Mus musculus: one gene and its partners. The protein of the gene in region 4 binds, or shares a complex with, the protein of the main gene of each other region. Links are inferred from orthologs where the notes say so. Each region holds a gene or a part of one and is shown on either strand. Other genes may lie near its edges. The genes, in order: Med7, Med1, Med12, Med16, Med18, Med24 and Med31.

Region 1 (3,960 bases), on a different chromosome or scaffold from region 4:
GGGGGGGAGAACAAAAAACAAAAAAACTTCCTTGTTAGGCTAATGGGATAGAGCAAGGAAGGTACAGAAAGTTGCACACCAAAGACTCTGCCTTCCAAAAGGTTTGCCCTTTGTCTACTTTGTGATAGCACCACAATTATGATTCTAACATTCAAGTGTAAAGACAGGTTCTGTAACTCACAGTGGACAATGGCAAGGTCATTTTTACTGCAGAATCACCGTTTAAACTACTTAGTCACTGACTCCCAGGTACCATGACTTCTTCACAATACTGCTCTGGTCCTACGGCCTGCTGTGTCCTGACTCTTAACTGTATTCACCCACGACTGCAGGTTTTTATCAGATAGTTTGTTTAACTGAATCAGACTTAAAAATGCTGAATTGTTATGTTTATTGCAGTGAAGATAACAGAAGTGAGAGCCTTGTTGCCCTAATATCTCTAACTATACACCCAAGTCGAGATATGCAAACTTTGTCTATGAAGGAAATTCTGAGAACACAAAACAGTATCACTTAGAAACCCTACTATTTTTTTGATCTCTTCAAGTCTTTCTCACCTGTTAAAGAGCACTCTTGCTGCCTGCCAGACTTCACGTGATGGTGAAGTAAGATCTGCTCTGCTTGTTTAGAAAAGGATGCTAGCACTAAGGACTCACATATTCTAGGTAATCTGACAAATGTAAAGCATACAAAGTGGAAAAACAAGCAGCAGAGTCCACCACAGGTTTGGCAGAGGACTTTATTTACTGTTATTTTTAAACATTTTTTTAAAAAGACCTAAACTGGGCATGATGGTTCCCGCTGTAGTCATGATGGGTCATGCTGTAGTCCCTGTGACTGAGAAGCTCGATAGCTCTAAGTTCAAGGCCAGTTTGGACTACACAGTGAGGCTGGGCCAGCCGGTGCTAAAGATCCATCTTTAAAAACTAAGTAAATATTTTTAAAATATATAAAAGTGGGAGTAAGATATGGTAGTGGTCTGTGAGGTATTAGAGGAGTGTGGAAGCGGGTATGATCAAAACACATGTGTGTTTGTGTGTGTGTGTATAAAATTCTCAAAGAACAAACATATTCTGAGAACTAAGGAAAAAGGGTCTGTATTTAGGGTGCTTTTATATGGTACATGATATACTATTTTTTCATGTCTGACTCCTTTTGGTAGGCATATGTTGGAACCTACTCTGGAAAAGAACATTTATATGCAAATGTCATATGCCTTATTTATTATTCTTTCCCATAATCAAACTACATATGGTATCTATTAATCTCATGTCGTTCACTTTCCTTTTTACTGTACAGTGGTCTCCAAACCCAAACACTTAAAACTCTCTTTACATCTTGACAAAAATCACCATTGTTGCTGGGCAGTGGTGGCGCACGCCTTTAATCCCAGCACTTGGGAGGCAGAGGCAGGTGAATTTCTGAGTTCGAGGCCAGCCTGGTCTACAGAGTGAGTTCCAGGACAGCCAAGGCTACGCAGAGAAATTCTGTCTCAAAAAAACAAACAAACAAACAACTATAACAAAACACCGTTGTTAAATTTCATATTTCAAATATTTTCCAAGGTTTCTGAAGGAAGCCACATCTTACAGTATAGTAGAGTTAGTATAGTACAGTTTTCTTAACACATTAGCAATTTTTACATCTTTTCTACATAAATTTAAAACCTAAATCCCAACATATATGGTCAAAATAACCTTTGCTTTTTCCAATTTAAGTACATTATACAATGAGAAGATTCTTGAGTGCTTTCTCACACTGATGTACACTGCCAATACCTTAAATCTGAGGGAAGCAACTCCAAATTCTTCAGATTGTCTAACTGTTAGAGCTAATTCAGGGTGTATATACCTAGAACACGAAAGTCTACTTGTAGCCACTTCAAGTCAACACCTGGCCTAAATTTCATCCCCCGAAGGCTTTTGAAGTTGGGGATCTGCGCTTCCCTTAGCCACACCCACACTAAACCCGCAGTTTCCCGAAGGTTTTTAGTAAGTGACAGATCCGCATCCTCACTCCAATCATCAGGACGGTACGACTACTCCCAATTTGACTATAGAGACAAGAAGCCAATTCCCAACGTGCAGAAGGGGGTGAATTGTACAACGGGAATCCGCATTAGTTTTTTCGGGCGCAAGTGCAAACCCCCGTAACTTGGGCATCCCGCGTTAGAGCGGGCCACCTTACAGAAACCGCCCATTACCGGTTCAAACTGAACTTTTCAAAGCCGCTGGAGGTCGTGACTCGCTAACACTAACAAGATCCAGTGTCTCGTGGGTGCTTTTTTTTTTGGGAGGGGGGGGGTCCGCAAGCTCAGACACTTGGCTCACTTTGTCCCCGTGACTGGGTCCCCGCGGAAAGTCTGGTACAGGATGAATCCGGCTCCGACCCAGGCTCTCGCTCCCCTCCCCCAGCCCCCGCGCTCCCAGGCGGCTACTGTCACTTTACCAATGGCGACAGGGCAGGCTAAGACCACGACATTATAAAAGCCCGTGGCGTGGGGACGAGAACTCGGACCTCCCAACCTCCCGTCTGGCTTGTCGTCCGGAGAGAGCGGTACTCGGTGTACCTTCGGCCGGCCGCCTGCCTCAGGCCCCGGGGAGGCTTCGCGGAGGAACCGGGAGGAAGGCTAGCCCGGGCGTCCCAGGCTGTCCCGCGCCGGACTTCGGCGCTCCACGCCGGGAGAGACGCAACCGCGGGGGCGGAGAGACAGACTTAGGCTGCGGTCGCCAACCGCCGCCGCCCGCTCACCTCAGCTCTTTCTTGCTTTTCCGGTAGTGACTTTTCCTCAGCGCAGCGGAAGCACAAGTTCCGGTTGCCTTCTCAGGAAGAAGCCTCTGACGCGGGCCTCTCATTGGCTACCAAGGCTGTCCTATAGCAGGTCCTACTCCCGCCCTAAAGATGTTGCACATGCGCACTTTCGCATCTCCTGCTTCTCTCGGGAAAGATCCGCTGTCTGGTTTCTTGGTCAGGTCAGGAGAATACTTCTTCGTACTTTTTGTTAGTAGAAGAAAGTACTCTCTAGTAATTCCATTCCTTGCAGCCCCCACTTTTATACGAGACTTTTAAAATTAAATACTTGCCTTATGTAAAAGTCAGAAAATACAGATAAGCAATATATTTAAAAATTATACTAATGTAATCATCAAAAATGTTTTTTAAAAGCAAGATTGTACTCTATGATATATTCATATATATGGAGATATTTGTGAACATGATTAAGAATAACATCCTAAACCTTCATTTTCCCCCTTCCATTCACTTTTATTTTCATTTAGGAATTCAAAGATGTCTATAACAATCCTTCCACAAATTGACAAGTGAAAAAAACTTAATATAATTTTTTAAAATGGAGGGAGTGGGTAATTTCACTGTGTAGCCCAGGCTGGCTTCAGATGTCTCTTCCCAGCCTCTGGAAAGCCAGAGGTATAGAAATGAGCCATCAGGACTAGCAAGAAATATTTCCATTTTGGCCTTTCCCTGAGGGAGAGGAGGAGGGGGAGGGAGGAGAGAGAGAAGAGTTGTTAACAGATGATATGGGAGTCGTAAGATGCAGTGTTGCAAACTAAAAGTAAGATAAACAGCTCTGCTTCACAAACAAGAATGTCTCAGTTTCTTCCTTTAAATATGTGGAGCATTGCAGGCATAAAAACAAAAGAAGAGTCTACTCACTACCAACTTCCATAGTTATATGAGCCCCATCATTTTGTCTCTAGTCTGGTATGAACCTCTAAAAGGTAAGGGCTCTTCGTTTTTTCCTATACCCACAGATTTATTATCTTACTGAAAGTGTACTAGGGGTTATTACACTGATAGAATGAATGTGTGTATGCACATGGATATATATGTATATATGACTTATCCGAGTGACTTACAAGATGCAGTTCAAGTAGTCCAGCAATGGCTGTCTCAGCCCTGAAAGGCTGAGAATCCTGTAGTTGCTCAGTCTAAGAGGCTGGA
Region 2 (3,987 bases), on a different chromosome or scaffold from region 4:
TTTTTTGGGTTTTTTTTTTTTTTTTGGTTTTTCGAGACAGGGTTTCTCTGTGTAGCCCTGGCTGTCCTGGAACTCACTCTGTAAACCAGGCTGGCCTCCAACTCAGAAATCTGCCTGCCTCTGCCTCCCTAGTTCCTTTCTTTTTCTTTTATTTATTATATATATATGTATGTATGCGTGTATATGTGTATATGTATGTGTGTGTGTGTGTGTATATATATATACTGTACCTGTCTTCAGACACTCCAGAAGAGTGAGTCAGATCTCATTACAGATGGTTGTGAGCCACCATGTGGTTGCTGGGAATTGAACTCAGGACCTCCTGAAGAGCAGTCGGTGCTCTTAAATTAACTGAGCCATCTCTCCAGCCCCTTCTTTCTTTTTTTTAAACAACATAACTGCTTCTGGTTCTTCAGGAAATTTCACCTTCCCACTTTCTCTAGGAATTAAACCCAGGACTTCAGACATGCTAATCAGGTATGTTGCTGGTGAGTTACAAGTCTTGTCATCTTACAAATCTTACTTTTTTGTTGTTTTGTTTTGTTTTTGTCCAGGCAAGGTTTCTCTGTAGCCTTGGCTGTCCAGAAACTTTGTAGACCAGGCTGCCCTCATACTCAGAGATCTACCTGCCTCTCCCTTCAGAGCGCTGGGATTAAAGGTGTGCGCCACCACCAGGCAAACTCTAAACACCCAAACACTAAAACTCACTGGAAATCTTTCAGTAGAGATTATTTTGTAAGGACCGGTTTTCACTATCCCCTTCCTCATTGGGATTATAGGAGTGTGCCACTTTTCCAGGTGCTCAAAGAGCAAACATTTTGTTTCGTTTGAGACAGGGTTTCTCTGTGTAGCCATGGCTGTCCTGGAACTCACACTGTAGACCAGGCTGGCCTCGAACTCAGAGTTCCGCCTGTCTGCTGGGATCAAAGGCTTGAGCCGCCACCACCGCGGGACGGAAGAGCTAACGCTTTTAATTTACAAATTGTGTAACTGTCGGGATGCAAACATAAACTTTCAGAGAGATGTCAACTCTGGGCACACACCCTTAGACGCCAAGGTGTGAATTCTGAGCCAATCGGAGCCGGGCCTGCTAGAGATCCTGCGGGGAGGACGAAATCAGCCAACCTCCGCGAGACTTTGGTGCGGTTCCTTCTTCCTCCGTCTCACAGGAACACGATTAATCTCGCGATCTTTGGGAAGTTCCGTTGGGGAAGATGGCGGCGGCCGCGAGCACCCTTCTCTTCTTGCCGCCGGGGACTTCAGACTGAGCCTTCCCCGGAAGAGTCGGGGCCGCTGGTGCGCCGCTTCCCCGGAGCCCAGGCTAACTTGGTTCCCCTCTGAGTGGCGGGGAAAGGCTCCCCGGCTCGTGGCGGACCCAAGACCTCCCCGCTGTCAGGATGAAGGCTCAGGGGGAAACCGAGGGTGAGTGACTGGGGGGTGGCGGGGAAGGAGGGGCGGTACACCGCTGCGGCGAGCCAATCCGAGAGAGGAGGTGGGGACCCACGCCCCTCCAGGGCCACCGTGCGTGGGACCGGATCCTGGTGGAATGTGCATCTTAGATCCCGACCGAGCCCTACAGATGCTGGAGCGCCTCCTCCGGGGCGCTGCTCCCCCGTCTCCTCCACTCGTGAAAGGTTTTCTGCGGGACGAGGGACGAGGAAGTTGAGCCTCAGGGTACTTTGAGCTTAGCCCGGTGGGACCCAAGGAGAGGGAAACTGAAACTTGTTGATGCTTTGTTCCAGGAGAGATCGCTGAAGATGACACTAGAACAATGTAATGTCAAAGTAATGGAGGGTGTTTTAGCCGGAGTGACTTGCTTGGTTCGATCTTCATCATAGTAAAAGCGGGCCGTTTATTACTTGGAAGGTCATAGTGTTCAAATACTGTGCTGTGTCTTTACGAACTGCTTTCAGTTGTGCACGACCGGTGGCTTTAAAGCTTGGGGGAGAGGTGTTCAGAACTATAAACTGGCAGGAACAATCCCCAAACCAGTTTCCCAGTTGAGGGAAGAAAAGGGAAGGGATAGAATCTTCTTTGTTTCTTGAGACAAGGTCCCCCTGCCTCAGCCTCCCAAGTGCGGGCTTACACACCTCTCGGCCAGCTAAGAGTTTGATTCTTGGTTCAGATACTCCCTCCCACGACCTGGACTGGCTTATCCAAAAATGAAGTCTCGACATTTGTAGCAAAGTGGACGATACTCAAAATAAGCCATATTAAGATAAATAGCACATTTTCTCTTATGAGGAATCTCGACGTAGGTATGTGTTGGTGTGTGTTGGTTGTGAAAACATGGGACCATGTGGGAACAAAGGAGGTCTGCAGGATAGAAAGGTTAGTGGAATATGAAATGAAGTGAGAGGTTTGGCTGTTTGGAGGTTGGGGCAGTGTGGCTCTCAGAGGGAGAGGACTTGGACCAAGTATAATGGCCTATATGTATAAGAATGCCAAAATGATATGCATTGCTTTGTATGTTAATTTAAAGATAATTTAGAGGCTGGGAATGTAGAGCAGTGGTTAGAGTAATGTCTTCTTGTCCATGGGTTCAATTCCCAGCACCAAAAGAAAAGGAAAAAGGGAGCCAGGTGTGGTGGCCCACAGCTTTAATCCCAGCACCTGGGAGGCAGAGGCAGGCGGTTTCTGAGTTCGAGGCCAGCCTGGTCTACAGCGTGAGTTCCAGGACAGCCAGGGCTACGCAGAGAAACCCTGTCTCCAAAAACCAAAACAAAACAAAACAAAAAAAACCCCTAATTATTTTTTTTTTAAAGATTTTATTTATTATATATGTAAGTACACTGTAGTTGTCTTCAGACACTCCAGAAGAGGGTGTCAGATCTCATTATGGATGGTTGTGAGCCACCATGTGGTTGCTGGGAATTGAACTCAGGACCTTCAGAAGAGCAGTTAGTGCTCTTAACCTCTGAGCCATCTCTCCAGCCCTAAAACCCCTAATTATAATAACGTCTTCCTTAAATTGTGCTCCAAGTATATCCTTCAAGGTGTTGTGAGCCCAAGGGTCCAGTGAGAAACCCTGTCTTAAAAACTAACACGCAAAGAGCCAACTGGTGATGGTTCCTGCCTTAGTCCTAGCACTTAGTAGAAAGAGGCAGGTGGATCCCTGAGTTTGAAGCCAGCCAGACCTACAAAGAGACAAGACAGCCAGGGAAGCTCTGTCTCAGCCGTACCTCATAGCGGCACACACCCATAGGAGGCTGATGAAAGGAGACAAGAGGATGCCTTAGAGCATAGTCTGGGCAAGCCTGGGAGGTGACCCATGTTTATAATCCTAGCACTTCATAGGTAGAGGTAGGAGTATGAGGAGGTCACCACTTACATTTCTTTACTAGGAGGTAGGGCATCTACCATATCCACTGTGGGCTCTGGGGCGTGAACCCAGACTCTCATGTTTGGCATTGCGGGTGCCTCTACTCTTGTAGCCATCTTGTCAGCCCTCAAGGTCATGGTCAGCTGGGCTGTGAGAGACTGTCTCAAAATGGAAGAAAAAAAGCAGGGAGGTGGCTGGAGATCGAGCTGAGGGTTTAAGAGCCCTGTGCTTTTGGCATAGGTTCAGGTTTGGTTCCCAGGAAACACATGTCCACGTAGCAACTCACAAGCATTTGTAACTTTAGTTTCAGGAGTCTCGGTGTCTTCTGGCCTCCATGAGCACTGCACAGACATGCCACACATCCATGAGTCAAAAAATCAAAACAATAACAGCAACCCTTCCCCCAAAAAAACCCAAAAAAATGCATACCCAACATATTTTTTTTTGAAATAAAGAATATGTATTTCATGTGTATGGTGGTTTTATCTCCCTGTATTTCTGTGTACCAAGTACATGCCTGGTGTCCTTAGAACCCAGAAGAGGAGAGCAGATCTCCTGGGACTGGAGTTGCATGTGACTGTGAGCTGCCATGTGGGTGCTGGGACTTGAACCCAGAACTTCTGAAAGAGCAGCTAGTGCTCTTTAAAGGATGCATTGGGCATTGT
Region 3 (4,217 bases), on a different chromosome or scaffold from region 4:
GGGGACGATGCTGAGGGCACATAAGCAGGTCACTAAAGGGAGTCGAGGGTGTACTGCTAGTTGGGGGCTGAGGTGCTGGGGTAGTGGGCAGAGAACTTGTTGACTGAGCAGCTATGACATGAGATGAGTGGCTGCTCACACCATCCAGCTGGAGAGCCAATCTCCGGGTACAGAAGTAGGCAAGGCGGCGGGACAGATAGGCAGACTGAACAAACTCCCCTGAGTACTGTAAAGATATGACCAACAGAGCCCGCTAGGTTTCTCCAGAAGATACTGCTCTGATGTCTAATTCTTACTCAAATCCCTCTAAATAGTCCCTCCCTGGGCCTAGGTCTTACTCGCAGCAGTAGGGGAAGCAGCAATTTAAGCAATTCATCTTCTCCAGGGCGTATTTTCTCAAAACACTCAAGCACCCAAGTCAGGAACTCATGTCTGTCCAGCATTCCATCCTATGGATAGCAGGGAACTATTAGAGGTAAGGCAGATAAAGTAAATGGAAGAATGAAGAGAGCTATACCAGGGGCAAGGTAAAAGGCAAATTCCATTCTATTCCAACAGGACAGGATAAGGTGCAACTCAATGCCATGTACAACATGCCCTTGCTCCTACCTGAAACATGAACAAGGCGAGCTTCTCATTGTAATCCCACTGCCTGATGGCCATCTCTACATCATGGGGCAAAGGCCCTATAGTAGAACCACAGCCTCCACTTCCTGCAGGCCCTGGCCGATAGTACTCAGCCATCTTCTGTAGCTGCTCCCACAAGTACTTTGTGATGATTTGAGTCCATTCTAAAGAAAATACGGAAAGGGAACTATATGATACTATTCTTAAGCTTAGAATACTCTATCCCCTGCCTCCACCCACAATCACCAGAGTTCCAAGCTCTATTCATCCTCTTAGCCTGTAGACAAATGCCACCTCCTTAAAGCAATCATTACATCCACTGAAGTCTCAAAGAACCTTCTGTCTACTCTTTTGATGTTTACCACTTTCTATATTTAATTATGCTACATATGCCTTAGCATCTCCACTAAGATCTAAAGAGCAGAAATTATATGCTGGTCATCTTTACAGCCCAGTACCTGAACACAGCAGATACTCAAATTACTCCATGCTTACCAATTTCGTGCACATAAGATTCATGCAGAAGCAAGGAATAGACTAGGAAGATTTATTCTAAGGCTCCATCACTCCTTGAAGCCATCAGTGGTATACCAGGTGTACAGAGTTACTTACCAGTGAAGGGGTCAGCAGTATTTTTCTTCTTAACCTTAGTCTCAGACATTGCTGCATAGTAGGCACAAGTCATCTTAATGAGCCAGGCAGCCCGCATCACAGGCACCGTGTATTTGGCCAAATACCCAAATACTTCTTCCTTTTTACTGAAAATGGGGACCTGGATGGGCATCACAAACAGCAATGTCTCTAATTACTCCAGGGAGCTGACACCACATAGCTACATCTTAGAATATAGGTAGACACATTCCCCACCTTGACCTTAAGAACAGGAAAAGAGTACTTCACCTTTTTGGCTAGGTGTGTGAGTGGTTTGGTGCCAGCCAGGTCAGTGAACCAGGTGTTAATAGCACTCTGAGATCTTGCAGTCACCAGCCAGAAGTTGTCCTTCTGGTTCATTAGGGACTTCCTGCGACCAGTGTCAGAGAGAGTATTACACCTTAACTTCTCTGCGATGATGCTGCTGAAGTTGGAACTGATCTAAAGGGGGAAAAGTAGACCTCAGGGTAGGAAGACTGTGAAAATGCCAATGTGCTAGCACTGAGTTATAAACTCTGCCACCTAGGTTGTCCCTTTCAGTTTGCCCAACCCGGAGCTTTTGCTCCTCAGATTCTTCCAGCCTTTTCCTTCAGCCTGGCAGGGTTGTCTCACCTTGGCAGGATTGAAGTTGACGTTCTTGGCACTGCCATGTTCGTCCCCAGAGACAGCAGGCTGGTTATTGAAACCTTGTTTTACATTCAAAGCCGTCAGTTCATCCTGAGGCAGAAAAACAGCATTTTTAGCTCACCCTCATTCACCTTATAGAAGAGGTTGTAAGAGAGGGCAGAGGAAAAGGTAACAAGGGAGCCAGGGAGGAGGAGGAGGAGGAGGAGGAGGAGGATTCTGACTAGAAGAGGTTGTTATTTAAAGCCCAGCCCTTATGTTCATTTGGACCCCACCCTCACCCCCACAGTCAATGAGACTCCCACATCCCCCAGAGCGACCTCAACATCACTCTTCCCTTACCGGCACCTCACCAAGCTGGCCCTAACAACTTTCTGAGGTTTGTGTGTGAGCGCCCGAGTGAGTGTGGAGGGGGGCACCTCTGGCATGGCTCCTGAACCCACGAGCTCCTCAACCGGAACTGCTGGCAGACCCTACTCTCCAGCAGGGCACCAGTCCACTCTACTCTTCCCCCTGTTGGGACTTTTTCTCTCACCTAACCTCATCCCCCCTTGCCCTCAACTGTCAGTGTCTCTTCCCTCACGAAACACCTGCCCGGACCCCGCGGGAACCGGGAATTGTGAACGCACCTCCTTCTGTTTGGGATCTTGAGGGTACACATCGGGAGGCCCCAGCCGCAGCCGCTTCAGGGGTCGGTGTTCATAGCTCAAGATCCCGAAAGCCGCCATCTTGCCCAGCCCGTACCGCCTGAGGCGCCTGCAGGGCCAGGCGAGGTGGGGAGGGAAGGGGCGGAGGGCCGAGGACGGGAGGGAGCACGGGGACAGCGAGCCGGGCGGCGGTAGAGAGGACCGAGGCCGAGAGAAGGGGGGTGGCGGAGGCGGGGCACGTTAGAAACTCTCGATTACTGCCGGAAACTGCCGAGGGACGCTGGGTACCGTCGGACAATACTGACTGCAGAGTGGGTGGGGCCTCGCCGGCGCGGGGCGGAGCCCCACAGCCCGGGAGCTTTGGGCCCTAGGAGGGAAAGTCAATTTCACACACTAGAAATCCACCGGCGTGGCCGGGGCTGGAGGCGCAGACCTGGAATAGGGAAGGCAGCCGCGGCGCTGAGCTCTCTCGCTGGAACTGGCTTCCCGTGGCCTCGCTCAGTTCTTGGCCTAAAATAAGTGCTCGGGAATTTTTAGTTTAGTTAATAACTGCGTCTTTTACTGATCACTTCGTTTCTTGGTTCTCACATCTGGATAATGGGCATGCTAAACTTCCTTCAAAGGACAGTTGTAAAGATTAGAAACTACTATTGTTTTAAGAAAGCACCTCTGATCTGATACAAAAGATCCGGTCTAGCCAGGCGCAGGCCTTTAACCCCTGCAGAGGCAGAGACAGACGGATCTCTGTGAAGTGCTTGCCTTACACAAAAAGAAAGCAACTGTAAAACTGAAGTGCTTATAATCTCTCCAGGTGGTTACAGGCCCTCTGCACCACAACCCCCTAACCCTTTGTTGTTGTTGTTAACCCTTAACCTGGCGGTGCACACCTTTAGTCCCAGCAGAAGAAAGCAGATCTCTGTGAATTCAAGGCCAGCCTGGTTTACACAATGACTTCCAGAACAGCCAAGTCCATGTATGAACTGTGTAACCCTGTCTCAACAACAACAACAACAAAACCAAAGAAACAAACAAAAAGTAGCCAGATTGATGGCAAACACCTTTAGTCCTAGCAACTAGAGAGGCAGGAGCAGGAGTATCTGAGTTCAAGGCCAGCCTGGTCTACACACTGAGCTCCAGAACAGCCAGAATTACATAGCGCCCTTGTCTCAAAAGAAAAAAAACCACAGGGTTTGGGGATTTACCTCAATGGTAGAGCACTTGCCTAGCAAATACAAGACCCTGGGTACCCGTCCTCAGCTCTGGAAGGAAAAAAACAAACCAAAAAAAAAAAAAAATGCCAACGTGTCATCAGAGTCAGATGTGGTGGGGCAAGCAGGTCATCCAGAGCAACAGTGACTGACACATACCCTGTCTCAAAAAGAAATCCATTGACACTTACATTATGTGTGTCACACACCTGTAATTCCCACAGCTCGGGAGATTGGCAAAAGGATAACAAGTTACTTCCAGCCCAAATTACATAGACACACACACACACATACACACACCTCTTTTCTGAGACAAGGTCATCTCATCATGTAATCGCAGGTGGCCTAAAACTTTCCATATAGCCCACGCTGGCCTAGAACTCACAGAAAGCTCAGTGAGCCATCTGCCTCCTAAAGCTTCCAGGCCGGATCAAAAGGAAAAGGGAGGAGGAGCAGGAGG
Region 4 (3,500 bases):
CCGCTCCACCAGGCTCTGCACCATGCCGGGCTGCACGTGTAGCAGGATGTCCCACCAGTCATAGCCGGTCACCATGCAGTATTCCAGCAGGAAAAGCAGGTGCTGCAGGGCCAGCTTGGGCTCCAGTGGGTGGCCCAGGGATGGAGAGATTCGCAGCATGCTGAGCTGCGGGGAGGCTATGCTGAGGGCACTGCTCACCCACACCTCCTCTCCTCCAACTCCCTTCCTCCTCCCCACCGCCCCTCCCCGCCCGCATGCTCACCTTCCCATGGTTATCGATGCCCACGAGGGCCAGCGAAGTCCAGGACAGCTGCATGGCTTTAAAGTGTACGGCAGGGCATGTGGTGCGTGGGCGCTTTAGGGCCGGCTCATCCAGCGAGCGCGGGGCTGAGCTGTAGAACACCGCCATGGTCTGCAGGGACAGTCGGTGCACCATGTGCACGCTGCCATCCTGGAAGGCCAGCGCTAAGCCTGCGGGTAAGGGCGTGGTCAGGATGGGGTGGGCAGCGGCCACCCTCCCTGTCTCCCTTAGTGACCTCAAGAACCACAGAGCCCCGGGTTCCCTCGCAGAATATTCCTCAGGCTTGACCACCAACCCCACCTTTAATCCATTCTCCCCATCATATCGGAGAGAGCCAGGAAAATAAGGACCTAGGCACACAGAAGCAACCCTACCTCATAGCTGAGCAGCTGGCTGGAGAAGGCACTTGACTGACAAGCAGAGACTTGAGGGATCTGAACCCAGGACCATATATTATACAATACCATACCATACAATACCATACAATACATACAATATACTTTAGTGATTATGTATTTGTCTCAGCAAGAGGATCTCACCCCATGTTCCTAAACCACTGTTAATTAGCCATAGCTCTTTACATTATCAAGAAGCATGGTATTCTATTAATTGGCTAAAGCTGTGTACATCTTAAGGAATATAACTTGCTAATCAGCTACAACTCTACATATCAAGGAATGTAGCTTTTTATCAACTGGCCACAGCTCTTTACATATTAAGGAACACAGCTATTCAGCAGCTTTCTGGACCTTTATCACAACATGAGACCAGGAACCCTTAACACTCAGAATCCATCCCCCCCCCCGCCCCCCCCACAGGTCCAGGTGCTGTGCTGGCTGCTCCTGTGCCTAACTTACCAAGGCCTGGATAGAACTGGGTGTCACTGGCCACCTTGAGGTCAGTGTTGGTGAGTGAGATGGGCAGTTTCGGCAGTGCCACCGCGGATACACGGTCCAGGTCATTGGTGGCCGACAGGATTCGCCACTTGAGGATCATGGGCTGTTTGTCACCAACTGAACAAACAGTTGGGGACAGGGAAAGAGAGGGGTGTGGGAAGGTGTAACAGAGAGACGAGCTCTGCCTCAGGGACCAGGGCTACCCCTGCCCCGATTCAGGAAGAGGACTGTGGCCGGCCGCGCATCCTCCCACAGCCACTTGGTCTGAGGATGTAAGAAGACCGGGAACTGGCAGGACCCGGGCCTGGCATTTTTCTCTCCCTATTTGAAACAGGATCTCAGAGACCTTATGCTGGTCTTGGACCCTCTATGTAGCCCAGGCTAGCCTTGAACTATTACCTTCCTGCCCAGCATGAATGAGGTCCTGGGCTCTATCCCCAGAAGGGAATGAGATGGGTAATGTGGGCCAGTGCCTGTCACACCAGGCTCTCTGGGTTGCATGGGTTATCTATGTCAGTTCCCATCCTTGAAACCGACTCTGACCCCACAGGGAGCCCCAGCAACTGAAATTCAAGAGGAAACAGGCTAGAGTGTTTGGAGCAGTCAGGCCTTCCTTGCACTGAGGTTGCTCTCTCACAAGGGATGCAGAAAGCAGGTGCATGCCTGTCACCCCAGCTCATCAGAGGCAGAGGCAGGAGGATGGTTCAGAGTCTGATGCCAGAGAGGGTGCACTAGAGTCTAAGACTTCAAAATTCAAATGAATGAACGAATGAAGGGAACACCAGACGTCAGTGGCCAATGGCAGCCAGAAGCTAGTGAGTGCCCAGGGCACCAGCCACATCCCTGCCTTAACCATAGCCAGTTTCTGTCACCATGGTCACCACATCTCAGCTTGCTATCCAAGGCTGCCAAGCACCACCTACTGGGCATCTGTGGGAGGGAGGCGCAGGTGCAAGTGTGGAAGGGCTGCCCACCAGCGCCAGGAGCCCAGATTACCAGTGACTCACAGCCATCCACAGCAAACACAGCACAGCAGGGATGCTATTCACATTTAATTACTTGCTGGCCACAAAGGGCAGCTTACTGCAACTACAGCAGAGGCCTCTTGACACAACTTCATTAGGCAGACAATTAGGTCCTCTAGTGACCTGCACAGCCACAGGGTCAGCCCTCCCACTTGCCCCCCTACAGCTAACCTCACTTCCTTTTGTGTGTAGGGGAAGGGCACTGGGGGCAGCCTCAGCAGCTATCCCCTGGGGAGTCCACATTTGTAGCAAGTGTGCTGTGGAGAGGTATGCTGGGTGGCCTTGGTAAAGATGCTCAACTCCAGCCTCCTCTCTGACTGGGATTTCTAGATGATTCCATGGCTTTTAAAGTAAAATGCCTTCCTTAGTTGTGGGCACCCTTTCATAGCTCAGTCCTTGGTTGCTGGCCCCTGCACAGGGCGTTTCTACATCCTGTGTGCGAGTGTGGGTGTCCCAGGCTGTCCTCACCAGAGCTCTGGAGCCTTAGCACCCGACTCTAGACAAGCAGCCAAGCCTCCCAGGACTGTGAGGGACAATGAGATCAATCTGAGAAAATTAACGGCCACACCAGAGGCATGTAGCCGCCCTTTGCTGCTTTGTGGGATCTTCTTTTCCCATCATGAGATAGGAGAGAAGGAAGGACAGTGGGGAGAGAGATCCTTGAATCTAATTTCTTTGCTGTTTTGTTTCTTCTTTGAGCACAACTTCTAACAAACCACAACCAACCCCACCTCTCAGAGCCCCATCCTGTATGTACCCTCTGAAAAGTTCCCAAAATTCCAAATGTCACACAATCTCTGAAACTATCTGAGGCGGGCAAGACCATGCTCCTGCTAGAGCAGGAGGCAAATCACAGTCAGCTGCTGTGGACAGTCCGAAGCAGCCCTGCACCCCATATCTGAGGCTAAAATGAAAACATAATATTTCTGTGTTTTGTTTTTGTTGTTGTTGTTTTGGGGGTGTTTCGAGACAGGGTTTCTCTGTGTAGCCCTGGCTGTCCTGGAACTCACTCTGTAGACCAGGCTGGCCTTGAACTCAGAAATTTGCCTGCCTCTGCCTCCCAAGTGTTGGGATTAAAGGTGTGCGCCACCACTGCCCAGCTATTGTTGTTGTTTTAAAGAACCCAAAATTCCAGAATTCTCACCAGAGGCAGGTGGAGTTCCATGCATTCAAGGCCAGCCAGGGACACAGAATGAGACCCTGTCTGAAACCGAAAAGCCTAGCAGCCACCACGGAGGAGGAGGAAAGCCTAAACTACTCACCCACAGGCGAGATCTG
Region 5 (3,992 bases), on a different chromosome or scaffold from region 4:
CTATCTATCTATCTATCTATCTATCTATCTAATGTATATGTGTGCCTAGATATATGTGTACCATGTATGTCCTTTAGCATGGATGCCAGATGAGGGTGTCAGATCCCTTGGAACTAGAGTGGCAGGTGGTTGTGAGTCACATGATATGGGTGTTAGGGCTGAACCCAGGTCCTCTGAATAACAGCAAGTGCTCTAAACTGCTTAGCCATCTTCCCAGCCCCTAGTTATTTATTTATATTTTGTGTTATGAGTGTTTTTGCAAGTGTGTATGCATGTCTACCACACGGATGCAGTGACTGATGTAGTCAGACAAGGTAATAGAGCCCCTGGAAAGGAAATTATAAATGGTTGTTAGCCACTATGTGGGAGTTTGGGACCTCTGAGAGAGCAGCAGGGGCTATTAACTGCTCAGCCATCTCTCTAGCCCTTATTAATTAACTTATTTATTTATTTATTTATTTATTTATTTATTAAAAACCTCACAATATTGTTTAAGCGTTGAATGGCTCTGCTGGAGAGATCCTTACCACAGCTTCCCAAGGTTCTCAGATTTGAACTGTGCCTGGTCCCATGTATTTAAAGTTATGGTATGCACTGTAAATTGAACAAGTTTGCTGTTGTTTTGTATTAAACTTATGGCCTTGCACATGTCAGACAAGGCTCTAGCACTGAGCTGTTTCTCCAGACCCTTGAAAGCACACAAAATATTGTTCCTGCTGAGGTCTATATATAAATACACAACGCTGTGGTTAGCGTTTCCGATTTACAACATACCCCTTCCTTTTCTTTTTCTTTAATTTAATTTTTAACTTATTCATTTTACATCTCTTTCACTGCCAGCCCCGCCACCTCCGCCTCCCTTCTTTTTCAATGTGACTCTCCTTCCTCGCTCCCCCCAGTGGCTGAGTTCAAAATTTAAATATGGTATCCAATCGGCTTTATGAGATCTGATCAAAACATCCAGGTCGTCGAAGCTGAAAAAAAAAAAAAAAAAAAAAAAAACGTATCCTAGAGCTGTCCTATGACAGTCACCTTCCACGGTACCACTCTAGACTAGGACCCCAAAGCAACAGCAGCCCCGAACCTTGCGCGTGCGCTCTTGCACACCGGTGCCAGAAGGCGGGCGCGTTCCTTGCCCTCTCGGCACCCTTACTTTTCGGGGCGGTAGCGGAGAAGTTTCCTGTCCCTCAGCTTCCTACCGGAAGTGCTGAAGGGAGAGTTTGGCGGTTTCTCTGGCTCTGCGCTGGCGGCATTTGGGGGTGCGGATTGCGGGTGTGCACGCGTGGATTTAATTCCAGCTTTACAAGGATCTGTAGCGCGGACGGAGACGTGTTGCTAGTGTAAGTGCACACGTGTCCCGGCTGCCCGCGTGGGAGGACCGGGACAGTCACTCTAACTTCATATTTCCCGCCTGGCTCATTTGCAGAGGCGTTCTCATAAAGGCAGAACCAGTTCTAGTTACATCGCTCGTGTGCCCTGGGGCCTTTCCCTGAGTCTGCATGGCCTCCGCATAGAGTGAAGGGTGGACAAGGTCCTTAGGTCTCCCTCGGATCTTTTCTTTTGTTTTTTCTTTGAGACAGTCTCACTGTGATGCCCTAATTGGCCGGGATTTGCTATATAGACCAGTCTAGCCCGAAGCTGCAGCCGTCCTTCTAACTCTGTCCCCAAGTATTGAGATTACAGATGTTCCCCCCAACACAGCCGGTTTTTATTTCTTTATGTTTGGAAACGAGGCCTCTCAGTGTAGCCCAGTGTAGTTACCATTTTTGAATATGAATGTCGGTTTCTTTCGAGCCAGGTAGTGGGTGGGGGAGACGAGGGCTGTGGGGTTAAACACCCTTGGTCTTATTTTAAACGAGACAGTAGGTTTCGGAACAAGAGGTTACATAGCTGCCTCGAGATTACATAGAAAAACGTTTATAAGGTTCAGAACTTGATACTAGATGGCTATTCCGTATCTCCGGAGCTAGAACCCCTCTTATTCCCGAGTCACCCGTTCTTGGAACCGGCTGTATAAGCAGATGTGCAAAGTTAAGACTGAATGAGCTTTGGTTTCAAGGCCACTGCCGCAGCAAACAGGGTATGGACAAGTGTGACTTTTCCAGGTGGATCCTGTGCTTCTCCGGTTGGAAGATCTGTTTGCAGTTCTGTTGTCTTGAACCTAATTAGAGGCATCATGGAGGCGCCTCCAGTCACCATGATGCCCGTCACTGGGGGCACCATTAACATGATGGAGTACCTCCTGCAGGGTAAGTCAGCCAAGGAGCTTGTGTTACCAAGTTTTCAGTTTTTTCTGGCTAGAGCAAGTTGAGATGACTTATAGGCAACTGTAGGGTTCCTGTAACTGTGTTTAAAAGAGGGTGGGTGGGAAGATGGCTCAATGGCCAGAAACTCACTCTGTAGACCCTTCTGGCTGCAGGGGCCTGGGATTATAGATATTTACCACTATTGTCCTATTGTCTGTTCTCTCTCTCTCTCTCCCTCTCTCCCTCTCTCTCTCCCTCCCTCCCTTGCTCTTTCTTTCTTTCTTTCTTTCTTTCCTCTATTTTTGTTTGTCTCCGTATAGTTCTCGCTGTCTATAGACCAGGCTGGCCTCGAACTCAGAATTCAGAGGTCCATCTGCTCTGTCTCCCAAGTGCTTGGGATTAAAGGCACAAGCCACCACTGCATGACTTTCATTTTTTTTTTTTTTTCATCTTGAAAAATTAAAACTCAGGCCCGAGGAGAAGGCCCAGCCGTTAAAAGCACTGGCTGCTTCTTGGTTCAATTCCCAGCACCTACATGGCAGCTCACAACTGTGTGTAACTCCAGTTGCAGAGAATTTGATGCCCTAGTCTGGTCTCCATGGATTCAGGCATACAGGTAGTTCACAGATGAGCTTGCAGGCAAAACACTCCTTCTTACACATAAAATTTAAAAACAAAAAACAAGAACAAAACAAAACAAACCAAAAAAACCTCATACCGAGTCTCCCTCTCACCTCTCCACTGTGTTTCCTACCTTAGCTGCTTAGATGCCCCACATGAGTGAGGTCCCCAACTGGCTTATTTCTCCTAGCATTATATCCTTGATAAAGTCATGTCCTATGACAGAATTTATATTGTTTTTGTTGTTTGGAAGCAGTACTAAGGAGCCCAGGCTGATTAATTTTTTTCAAGTATGATTAAAATGATTCTTTTAGATTTTTAAATCTTATTTTATCTGTATGAGTGTCTTGCCTGCATGTGTGGGAGTCAGAGGTCAGACAAGTATGTCCAGTTCCCTGAAAAGGAGTCGTGGACGATTATGAGCCACCGTGTGGGTGCTGGTGGACACCGAACCCAGGTCCAGCACTCTTAGCTGCTGAGCCTCCTCTCAAACCCCCAGGCTGACCTCTAACTGGCTGGGTGTCCAGGAGCAGTGTTAACCTCTGATCTTCGGGCCTGAGCCTAACTGTGTGCATGCGCTGTGCATGCTGACTGGGCTGTGTCTGTTGTTGAGTTAGCATTGTTATTTCATAGTTCATTCATTTCGGTACGTGTCTTAGCTTTTTGTTGCTCCACGGCCTCCATTTTAAATGTGTATATGAGCACATCACAGTGCCCTCACCTCTCCTAGTACAGTTGGGCTGGGCATCTGGTCTCCTTCTCATTTTTGGTTACAAAGAAAACAGCTGATACAGGTCAGGGGACATGTGGTGGTTTTATCTTTATATTTATTTTTGGAGCTTCAGTTTTTTTAATTGTTTTTTTTTTTTTTTAAGATTTTTTTGTTTTGTTTTTGTTTTTGTTTTTCGGTTTTTCGAGACAGGGTTTCTCTGTGCAGTCCTGGCTGTCCTGAAACTCACTCTGTAAACCAGGCTGGCCTCTAACTCCAACTCGGAAATCCACCTGCCTCTGTCTCCCAAGTGCTGGGATTAAAGGCATGCACCACCCCTGCCCAGCTTTTTTTAAGATTTTAAAATACCATTTTTAGTTCTCTGTGCATGTGTTTCAGGGGATGGTACATGCATG
Region 6 (4,172 bases), on a different chromosome or scaffold from region 4:
TGCCCTCCAGTCCCCAGCCTGCAGAGAGGACTAAAACGGAGTGGGACTCTGCCCTTCCCAAACCCTGAATGTTCAGCCACACCTTGGAAGGCTCCTTCGAAGGGGGTGCAGCCAAGCTGAAGCCACCAGGGCGGGGAATCTCACTCTTCGTGTAGCTGTCTGGTGGGTGTTCCCAACCCATCCCACCCCTGCTCTCTGCACCCCCTCCCCACTTCCTCCCCCTGAGCCTCCCTCGGGCACCTGTTACTTCTGGAGCCGAGTAATCCAGGAGGTTCCCCACCCTGTGGCTGAGAACTGGACTGTGACAAGGTCTGTGTGTGTGAGAGAGAGAGAGTGAATGAGAGCGAACACGTTTGCTGGGTGTGACCATGCTACCACTCAATAAAGTTGCCCTGTGTGTGTGTGGGGGGGGGGGGGAGTAGCCCAAGAGAGACCAAGGGATTTGAATGTAACAGCATAAAGTCATCTGTGATGCAGCTCATGTTACCTGTTACAGTTTAGTAGAGTAACAAAGAATAAACCCAGGGGTGGTGGCGCACACCTTTAATCCCAGCTCTTAGAAGCAGAGGCAGATGGATCTGTCAGTTTGAGGCCAACCTGATCTACATAGTGAGTTTCAGGACATCCAGAGCTACACAGAGACAGCTTGGAGACAGGGTTTCTCTATAGCATTGCAACATCATAAACAAACAAACAAACAAACAAACAAACAAAAACAGTACCTTGTCCATGCTAGGCAAGCACACTACTAACAGAGCTCCATCCCTATCTCTGGGTAAGTGTACCTTAAATTTCTGTCTCGATGCCTATGATATCACATATGTGATATAATAAACAGAAGTGCTGGGTAGTGTTCAGCTCTGTTGCACCAATGCCAAATATCCTTCAGGTTTTTTGTGGTGCCGGGGATCAAATCCAGGGCCTTGTCCCTGCTAAGCAAACACTTTACCAATGAACTGTATCTGCAGCCCTCACTTTCAGTAGTGGATAACTTATAATTTGTCCAGCCCAGCCTGTGTAGAATTATAATTTCCTCTCTCTGCTCTTCATTCTCATTCATCTGTGTGGCTAACTTCTACTCACCATAGAGACCTTGGTTTAAACATCACTTCCTTTAGAAAGCCTTCTGTGATTGCTCAGGCAGGACTAGGCATCACTTCCATATCCTCTCTTCATTTCTATACTCTGCCCTAATCATACCATAAACCCCATCGCTCAACGATTAGCGATAGTCTGCATTGCCTTCAACTTCCCTTGTGTACTGGGATCAAATCCCCAGGACTTACCATTGTGTGACAAACATTAACATTTGCAAACACCCAGAGAGGGATTATAATAGCTCAAAGGTAGAACACTTGCCTAGCATCTGCAGGTCCTAGGTTTGATTATCAACACCCACCCACCCCCAAATCAATTGTGGGAGGCGGTAGCAGAAAAATCAGGAATTCAAGTCCATTCTGGGCTACATAAAACACTGTCTCAAAAACAGAAACAAGGATCTGGCAAAGAGGCTCAGCAGGTGAAGGTGTTTGGCGTGCTAATATGAGTTCAAATCCCCAGAAAGGTGGGAAGAACTCTACAAACTCTACAAAAGTATCGTTTTTGTTTTTTTTTTGGTTTTTCCAGACAGGATTTCTCTGTATAGTCCTGGCTGTCCTGGAACTCACGTTGTAGACCAGGTTGGCCTCGAACTCAGAAATCCGCCTGCACCTGCCTCCCCAGTGCTGGGATTAAAGGCGTGTGCCACCACGCCTGGCTACAAAAGTATCTTACCTCCACAAGCATTCTGCGATGTGCATGCCCTCCCCGCCCATAAGTACATGTAGTTTTTTTTTTAAGTTTTACTTGTAAATGTATATGGAGAGAGTAAATAAATGTAATATTCATTCATTACAACAAATGGAGTGTTATTTTTGCAATAAATTAAGCCTAAATGGACAACTGTCAGTTCTCCAGGTGTTTCACCTCCAAAAGCCAAGAGTCGGGAATCTTTACCTGGGAACTAATGGCGTACTTCAGGTACGACAGGATCAGAGGATTGGGGGAAGGCCCAATCATAGCCTGCTCCAGGAGCGCTTCTGCAAGGAAAATTAAAGTAAGGCTGAGTGTTTACAGCTTTTCTGAGGACACCCCTCCCATCCTTCTTTGCCCATTTTACTTGAGACCTGCTAGGTTGAGAATGTCCCAGGTGGCTCCTTTGGGGAAGAATTTTTTCATGTTGATTGCCCATTGGTAGTCACTCCATCGCTCTTTCCAGGCTTGCAAAATGGCCTGCTTCAGGTTCACCACCTTCATGATGTCACTCCAAGGAGGCGAGATGAGTGACAAGGTGGGAGTTTAAAAACGGAGCCAGATGAGAACTGGAGTTCTGAGGGAAAGAACAAGGGAGACATAAATAGAACGGAAATTCGAGAAGGTTTAAGCAAAACAAACAAACAAACAGAAAAATAAACAGAGAGGAAAAAAACTAGGCAGAGTAGAAGGCGTCAAGTTAGCGGCTCTGTCACCTTCTCGGTTTCTGAACAACCGTTTCTCGAATTGGGACAGAAAGTGTCAACAAAGCCCTGAAGCGAGCAGGAAAGGGTTAAGCCCGCTCCGGTTGTCTAATTATGCCCTTCGCTCTAGCTGCGTTCCTCACCACTTCCACCCCAAACCCAGATCTACCCTCTCCCCATTGCCTCTACCTTCCTCGGCCCTGAAGTTGTAATTCCTTCTTTTCCTACATCTACCATCTCCCCAAATTTAAGCCTACCATACAAACCGGTTGTACATCGTAGGCAGCGCCATCTTGACACCTACTAAGGAAATCATTTACCATTGGCCGGCGGCAACACACACCAACCAATAGAAACGTAGCAAGAGGCGAGTCCTGCCACAATACCTTCTGGGAATTGTAGTTCTTTGTCTAAGACTTGTCTAAGCTGCCAAACAGGCAGAAGGATTAATCTAATTGGTTCTGGTGGTTTTTATCTGAGATAATCCGAAGAGCTGAGGTACGCTGGTACCCAGAGTCTCAGGGTCTATGGAGAAACCAACTCTCTGTCTCCCAGTGATGTTGCCATCTATCCCTACCTTCAATCATTCTGATACTGTGGCTATTTCCCAGAAACGAGGCATAACAGTGAATTCTAGCCTGGCTTCTGTTTTGGCTTCTAACCTGGCTTCTATTTGGGTTTTGGCCTTTGTTCTCGAAAGCCCCTGTAGGCACTAGAGCTCTCATTTTCATATTTCTATTCCAAAAGAGACACTGAAGTGTGGGTAGCAGCACACATACCATCATTTTAACCCCAAATCTGACAATTCTCCCAGAATTCACTGATCCTGAATACTGTTTGGATACAAAAGGAAATAAGGAGAAAACAGAAGCTGAGCATGGCACCACGCCCTTAGTGCCAGCACTCAGAAGGCAGAGGCAGCTGGGTCTCTGAGTTTAAGCCTGGTCTACAGAGTGAGTTCCAGGACAGCCAGGAGGACTACACAGAGAAACTCTGTCTAAAAAACACAAAACACAAAAACAAAAACAAAGAAACAAAACAAACAAACAAACAAAACAGAGGAAATATGGGTTAAGATTATTGGGTGTCTCAAAAACTGTTTAAGAAGGCCTCGGGGGCTGGTGAGATGGCTCAGTGGGTAAGAGCACCCGACTGCTCTTCCGAAGGTCCGAAGTTCAAATCCCAGCAACCACATGGTGGCTCACAACCATCCGTAATGAGATCTGACTCCCTCTTCTGGAGTGTCTGAAGACAGCTACAGTGTCCTTACATATAATAATAAATAAATCTAAAAAAAAAAAAAAAAAAGAAGGCCTCGGGATCAAATGTGGTATTGTGGCTAAGACCATTCTGCACATTTGGAGGCAGAGCTTTATCACCCCTCTTTTTCTTGGCTCCCAATCTCATATCCCAAGGAGATAGGTCAGCCTGTTTCTTCAAATTCTGTCTATATTCCCCAACCCATTCCTCTTCTGTCCCACATTCCTCTTTGTACAGCTATGAAAGCACTCTACACTGAACTACAGCCCCCTCCCTGAGCTACCTTTTGACTGAGAATCAGGATAAATATTGAGAAAACAGTCCACATGGGCTCTAAAACTGGCCTTGTAGACATGTAGGAGACTAATAGGATCCTGGGTACCTGGAGCACGCTATGAACAGGGAGAGTATAGCTGG
Region 7 (4,300 bases), on a different chromosome or scaffold from region 4:
TCCGGTCTGAAAATTTGCTAGCATGTAACATTTTATATCTTCTAATATAACTTCAAGTCTATCATTTGGATTCCTAAAGGAATCTATAATTGCATCATGAAGAGCAAATCTACAGGCAGCAAATCAAGTCAGGAAGGTAACGAGGATAAAAAGAAATTTTTGAAATGTTTTACTCTCATTTTTAAAATTAGAGTCTCTGCCGGGCAGTGGTGGCGCACACCTTTAGTCCCAGCACTTGGGAGGCAGAGGTAAGCATATTTCTGAGTTCAAGGCCAGCCTGGTCTACAAAGTGAGTTCCAGGACAGTCAGGGCTACACAGAGAAACCCTGTCTCGAAAAACAAAACAAAACAAAACAAAACAAAAAAGAGTCTCTCTGTGTGGACCTGATTGGCCTGAAATTTGCTACATAACCAGGCTGGCCTCAAACTCATAGAGATCTACCTGACTCTGTTTCTTGAGAGCTGGGATTAAAGGGATGCCAGGCTAAACTTCTGGTTTTTCTGTTGTCTCCTCCTTTGAGAGGCACATCTAGACAGGGCTTACCTGTGTAGAGCTTGCTGCCCTGGAAGTAGCTCTGTAGACTAAGCTGGCCTTGAATTCATGTGCCCACCTCTGCCTCCCAAATGTTGGGATTAAAGGTGTGTGCCAGCTTCTTCTTCTTCTTTTTTTTTTTTTAAGTCAAAGCTATTGAGTTTGATAGTGTCCGTGTTTGTTCTTTTACAGTGAGTTAATGTGTACAATACATTTAGCACAGTGCTCGAAACAAAGAACACTCACTATAAAGAAGGGCAGTACCTCTAAAACTCCCAGAAAACAATACTTCCTACCTTCCTAGATTATAGTTTGGTAGGCATTAAAAATCCAGAAAGACAAGGGCAGTGCTAAGTGACAAGGTTAGACACCAAATTACATTAGAACTATAGTCTGAAACCAGTTGACTGGATCTTAGCTAGCCTGCATGAACAGAAGTGGTGTGTTCTGGCTTATATTACTTAGAGAGTAAGCTGGCTCCCATGAAGACAGTTGTTTGGTTCTGTTTGAAGGGAGTGAGGTAAGAATGGTAGCAGAAATAAATGCAATTCCTAAAATAATCTAAGTTACAGATGACAGTATCTTACATTAACTAAAAGCAGAAAGATTCAAAATATCATTTTCCATTCCCACACAGAGAAAACTGCTCAGTATCAGCACTTTGTATTTATGATAAAGTATACACAGATTTAGGATTATAAAAATTAAACTTACTTTAGATATTTGGCATATTCTGGTTCTTTCCAGTAAAGCAAATACTTAAGATAATTAACAAAAGCTTTGTCTTTGAAGTAACCTCTTTGGGCAAGAACTGAAAGACACAAAGAAACAATCCGTATGTCAACCAACCGCTGGACTACTGATTAGTAATCTCTAAAACAAAGTAGCTCTTAACATCCCTACCAACAGAACACAAGGAATTAAAAACACAAGCCTTTGTTTGCCCAGTTAACTTACAGACCAGAACAAATAAAATCCCATTCAAACACATCGAAGTAATAAATAGTATTACAAACTGCATCTCTTCTCAGAAATTAAGAGCTAGTTGCTTAAGTTAGTGATGTACTTAACTTACAATTAAGGTAGTTTGGGTTGGCTAAACATTGCACAAATTCCAACTCCAACTGAAACCGAAGCCGATTTCCAGCATCATCTAGGAGAAAAGACAAATATCAAAGTGCAGAAGAGACTTTCTTAGAAATTAAAGATATATGTATATGCGTGTGTGTATATATGTGTGTGTGTGTGTGTGTATATATATATATATATATATATATATATATATATATTCACTAAGTAATGAGGCCCTGTTTCCAAAACAAAAATAGTAAAACAAAAAATAGTAAAGAAATCCTTTAAAGTTAATTGAGGAAAAAATAAGTTGAATGGGAATTTACCACCTGCAGGCCACTTTGTTAGCGGAGATCACTGGACAGTCTGTAATAGCTGTGCGGTTCCCTAAGTTGTTATAACCACAACTATCAACTGTGATTACGTTAAGCAAAATCAATGTGCTACACAAAACCGAAGCATGATGCAAAGTGATTAAACAATGGAGAGAAGGCGGTGTCCGCATTAGAATACACAGGTTATCGATATTTCGGGCAAGTTCTTGGGAGTACCTTCAGCACAGACAGTGGAAGGTCTCAGTCCTCTCCCACGGCCCTGCACGGCCCCAAGAGCCAGGGTTGGAGTAGGGGTTTGAGCAACCCAGGAGCAAAGATGTTTTCACAGACCATAGTCTGAGAAGCAGCACAGCCTTCTCCTCCGCCGGTCCCAACTCTAAGGATGCCAAGTTGAACCCGAAAGACAGCGCAGGAAAAGGGAAAAGGGAGGGAATTTCGGGGCGTAGGACCATTCCCTTGGGGTGAAGACTCGGGGTGCAAGTCACAACGTACCTGTCTCCATAGCGACGGCCGCGGCCATAACAATCAGAGTGAGGCGAACACCACCAGCCCCGACCGAACCGCGACTTCGATTGGTGAGAATCCGGAAGCCACGGCTCCTACTTCCGGTCGCGGGGCAGAGTGGGACACGAGGGCGGGGACAACCTCACTTATGGGAAAATTAGCCCCACCTATCTGTGCAGACCCGGCCGGCTGCGCGCGCAGATATCGAGCGGGGCGTGCCGGAGGACTTCTCATTTTTTAGGTCTCAGAGTCCTGCTACCTACCCCGACGTAATACACCACCCTGACGTCACCTTTCCCTGTGTGACGTGACGCAGAGCATGATCCTTGGGCCTCTTTGTCCCACCTGACCAAGGTGTATGGGCAGGATGGCCTCGCCCCTTAGGAGCAAGTCCTCCGCCCCGCGAGTGGAAAGCACCCGCCACAAGGAGACATCGACTGTCCGCGTGGAGACGTCGTCCCACCGCGAGGAAACGTCATCCCACCGCGTGGAGACGTCCTCCCGGCAGGTTCGAACGTCTTCCCGGCAGGTGGAGACCTCCCAGCGCCACCGAGAGGGGCCCTCCCTCACCCCCTCCACGAAGCGACTCCCTCAGTTCCTTGAGGTGTCCTCCCAGCACGTGGAAACCTCCTCGCAGTGCACGGAAACGTCCTCCCGCCACGTCAGGGCGTCGTCATCCCTGAGGGTGGAGACTACTGTGCACCGTGTTGAGAGCCCAGCCAGGCAGAGTGCCAGAATGGCTCGATGAAGTGCCAAAGGTCCTTAGCCAGGACTGAAGAGTTGCCAGCCAGCCATCTTCCAGGAGAACCGAGCATCTTTGGTTTCATGGAAAGAACCCATAAATCAGTGTAAGAAACAGGCTGTGGTTTCTGGGGGCTGTTAACATGTATTGACATTGCAGCACCTTAGACCATCCTGTTGTTGACCCCAGTGTGCTATTAACTTGAAGCCAGCACAGAAGGTTTCAGACTGGTAGTGCAGTATAAACCTGGCTGATGGACAATGAGATTCTTTGAGTCTCTACACCAGGTAAGTTTTATAGTCTTAGGTCACTCTAGGATGTGTTGACGACTTGAAATTTGCAAAGAGGGGCCAAACTTGTCATGATTCTTGACCGCTGGCCTGATCATATACCTGCTTGAAACCTACAGGGCAAGGTATCATCTTTCATACATTATTAATTGGCCTTTATTAATACTTATATTTCATTATACATTTTCTCATGTTGTCATACATAGTATTCCACCCACACTTAAAAAATTAAATCAGGGGGTATAGGAAAAAACAGGACAATTAATAAACAATCAATAAAACCATTAATAATCTTGGAAGGGAAAGTAAAGAAGAAGCCATGACACTTGGCCTGAGGCGTGAGATTGACAGGATGGTAACTGAGTATTACTGCATGCTAGGTAGTAGTTAGAGCATGGCAGCTAGAGCAGTGGAAAAGACTAGGATCTTCCTCTAATGAAGAGACATGCAACAAAGGGGAAAGTAAGACAACATGCTGTTGTATTCCCGCGAAGGAAAGGCTGTCTGTCTTGTGGTAGAGAGTAGGGAACTCTTTAGAGAATATGGTCAGGGAAAGCCTTGCTGATTACATTTGGTCCGAGATTTGTGTGAGTGGACAGTGAGCCATATCAGGATCTAGAGGGAAGTGCATTCTAGACAGAAGGGAAAGTCTACATTTTTTTTAAAAATCAAAGATGTTTATGTAAGAGAAAGATCAGTTAGTATATGAGAGCGTGGTATAAGGAAGAAAACAAAAAGGAGGAAGATGCCACTTCATATAGAGTCTTGGAAATCTTCTGGGATTACAGTAAAGAGCTTGAATTTTATTCTGAGATCATCAAAAGAA

Evidence for each region.
Region 1: Med16 (region 4) and Med7 share a complex: the UniProt entries of both Homo sapiens proteins name them as parts of the mediator complex. The link is inferred for Mus musculus from reciprocal best matches to the Homo sapiens genes MED16 and MED7.
Region 2: Med16 (region 4) and Med1 share a complex: the UniProt entries of both Homo sapiens proteins name them as parts of the mediator complex. The link is inferred for Mus musculus from reciprocal best matches to the Homo sapiens genes MED16 and MED1.
Region 3: Med16 (region 4) and Med12 share a complex: the UniProt entries of both Homo sapiens proteins name them as parts of the mediator complex. The link is inferred for Mus musculus from reciprocal best matches to the Homo sapiens genes MED16 and MED12.
Region 5: Med16 (region 4) and Med18 share a complex: the UniProt entries of both Homo sapiens proteins name them as parts of the mediator complex. The link is inferred for Mus musculus from reciprocal best matches to the Homo sapiens genes MED16 and MED18.
Region 6: the proteins of Med16 (region 4) and Med24 are in contact, whole or in part, in a cryo-EM structure (PDB 7EMF), measured with the Homo sapiens proteins. The link is inferred for Mus musculus from reciprocal best matches to the Homo sapiens genes MED16 and MED24. Residues at the interface, in NP_005472.2 of Homo sapiens: His29, Cys30, Pro31, Ser32, Arg52, Asp54, Asp55, Gln56, Glu82, Asp102, Val126, Glu127, Gly128, Asp129, Pro130, Val184, Ser185, Leu187, Thr203, Glu204, Ser205, Cys207, Arg208, Leu209, Arg210, Gly211, Arg212, Asp232, Gly233, Ser234; in NP_055630.2 of Homo sapiens: Ile539, Leu540, Asn541, His544, Pro545, Glu593, Arg629, Met630, Leu631, Gly632, Leu633, Asp634, Glu635, Asp676, Gln679, Gln680, Thr681, Ala682, Pro702, Pro703, Lys704, Arg705, Pro706, Ile707, Lys708, Glu709, His737, Met738, Gly739, Gly740.
Region 7: Med16 (region 4) and Med31 share a complex: the UniProt entries of both Homo sapiens proteins name them as parts of the mediator complex. The link is inferred for Mus musculus from reciprocal best matches to the Homo sapiens genes MED16 and MED31.

The regions. Positions count from the first base shown.
Region 1 is NC_000077.6:46,435,801-46,439,760, reverse strand, and holds the start of Med7 (mediator of RNA polymerase II transcription subunit 7), read right to left. Parts: upstream 2,801-3,960; 5' UTR 2,570-2,800; exon of another isoform or gene 2,449-2,569; intron 1-2,448. UniProt on the Homo sapiens protein: Component of the Mediator complex, a coactivator involved in the regulated transcription of nearly all RNA polymerase II-dependent genes.
Region 2 is NC_000077.6:98,190,494-98,194,480, reverse strand, and holds the start of Med1 (mediator of RNA polymerase II transcription subunit 1), read left to right. Parts: upstream 1-1,187; 5' UTR 1,188-1,397; coding exon 1,398-1,422; intron 1,423-1,574; exon of another isoform or gene 1,575-1,674; intron 1,675-3,987. UniProt on the Homo sapiens protein: Component of the Mediator complex, a coactivator involved in the regulated transcription of nearly all RNA polymerase II-dependent genes.
Region 3 is NC_000086.7:101,272,674-101,276,890, reverse strand, and holds the start of Med12 (mediator of RNA polymerase II transcription subunit 12), read right to left. Parts: upstream 2,801-4,217; 5' UTR 2,631-2,800; coding exon 2,532-2,630; intron 1,996-2,531; coding exon 1,891-1,995; intron 1,720-1,890; coding exon 1,528-1,719; intron 1,400-1,527; coding exon 1,240-1,399; intron 792-1,239; coding exon 610-791; intron 450-609; coding exon 339-449; intron 227-338; coding exon 1-226. UniProt on the Homo sapiens protein: Component of the Mediator complex, a coactivator involved in the regulated transcription of nearly all RNA polymerase II-dependent genes.
Region 4 is NC_000076.6:79,898,939-79,902,438, forward strand, and holds part of Med16 (mediator of RNA polymerase II transcription subunit 16), read right to left. Parts: coding exon 3,485-3,500; intron 1,315-3,484; coding exon 1,159-1,314; intron 472-1,158; coding exon 263-471; intron 166-262; coding exon 1-165. UniProt on the Homo sapiens protein: Component of the Mediator complex, a coactivator involved in the regulated transcription of nearly all RNA polymerase II-dependent genes.
Region 5 is NC_000070.6:132,461,122-132,465,113, reverse strand, and holds the start of Med18 (mediator of RNA polymerase II transcription subunit 18), read left to right. Parts: upstream 1-1,192; 5' UTR 1,193-1,340; intron 1,341-2,105; 5' UTR 2,106-2,176; coding exon 2,177-2,249; intron 2,250-3,992. UniProt on the Homo sapiens protein: Component of the Mediator complex, a coactivator involved in the regulated transcription of nearly all RNA polymerase II-dependent genes.
Region 6 is NC_000077.6:98,726,620-98,730,791, forward strand, and holds the start of Med24 (mediator of RNA polymerase II transcription subunit 24), read right to left. Parts: upstream 2,801-4,172; 5' UTR 2,753-2,800; exon of another isoform or gene 2,685-2,752; intron 2,369-2,684; 5' UTR 2,296-2,368; coding exon 2,166-2,295; intron 2,079-2,165; coding exon 1,996-2,078; intron 398-1,995; exon of another isoform or gene 1-397. UniProt on the Homo sapiens protein: Component of the Mediator complex, a coactivator involved in the regulated transcription of nearly all RNA polymerase II-dependent genes.
Region 7 is NC_000077.6:72,212,531-72,216,830, forward strand, and holds the start of Med31 (mediator of RNA polymerase II transcription subunit 31), read right to left. Parts: upstream 2,801-4,300; 5' UTR 2,459-2,800; coding exon 2,431-2,458; intron 1,686-2,430; coding exon 1,608-1,685; intron 1,344-1,607; coding exon 1,247-1,343; intron 1-1,246. Other genes in the region: 4930563E22Rik (uncharacterized protein C17orf100 homolog), read left to right, coding at 2,801-3,190. UniProt on the Homo sapiens protein: Component of the Mediator complex, a coactivator involved in the regulated transcription of nearly all RNA polymerase II-dependent genes.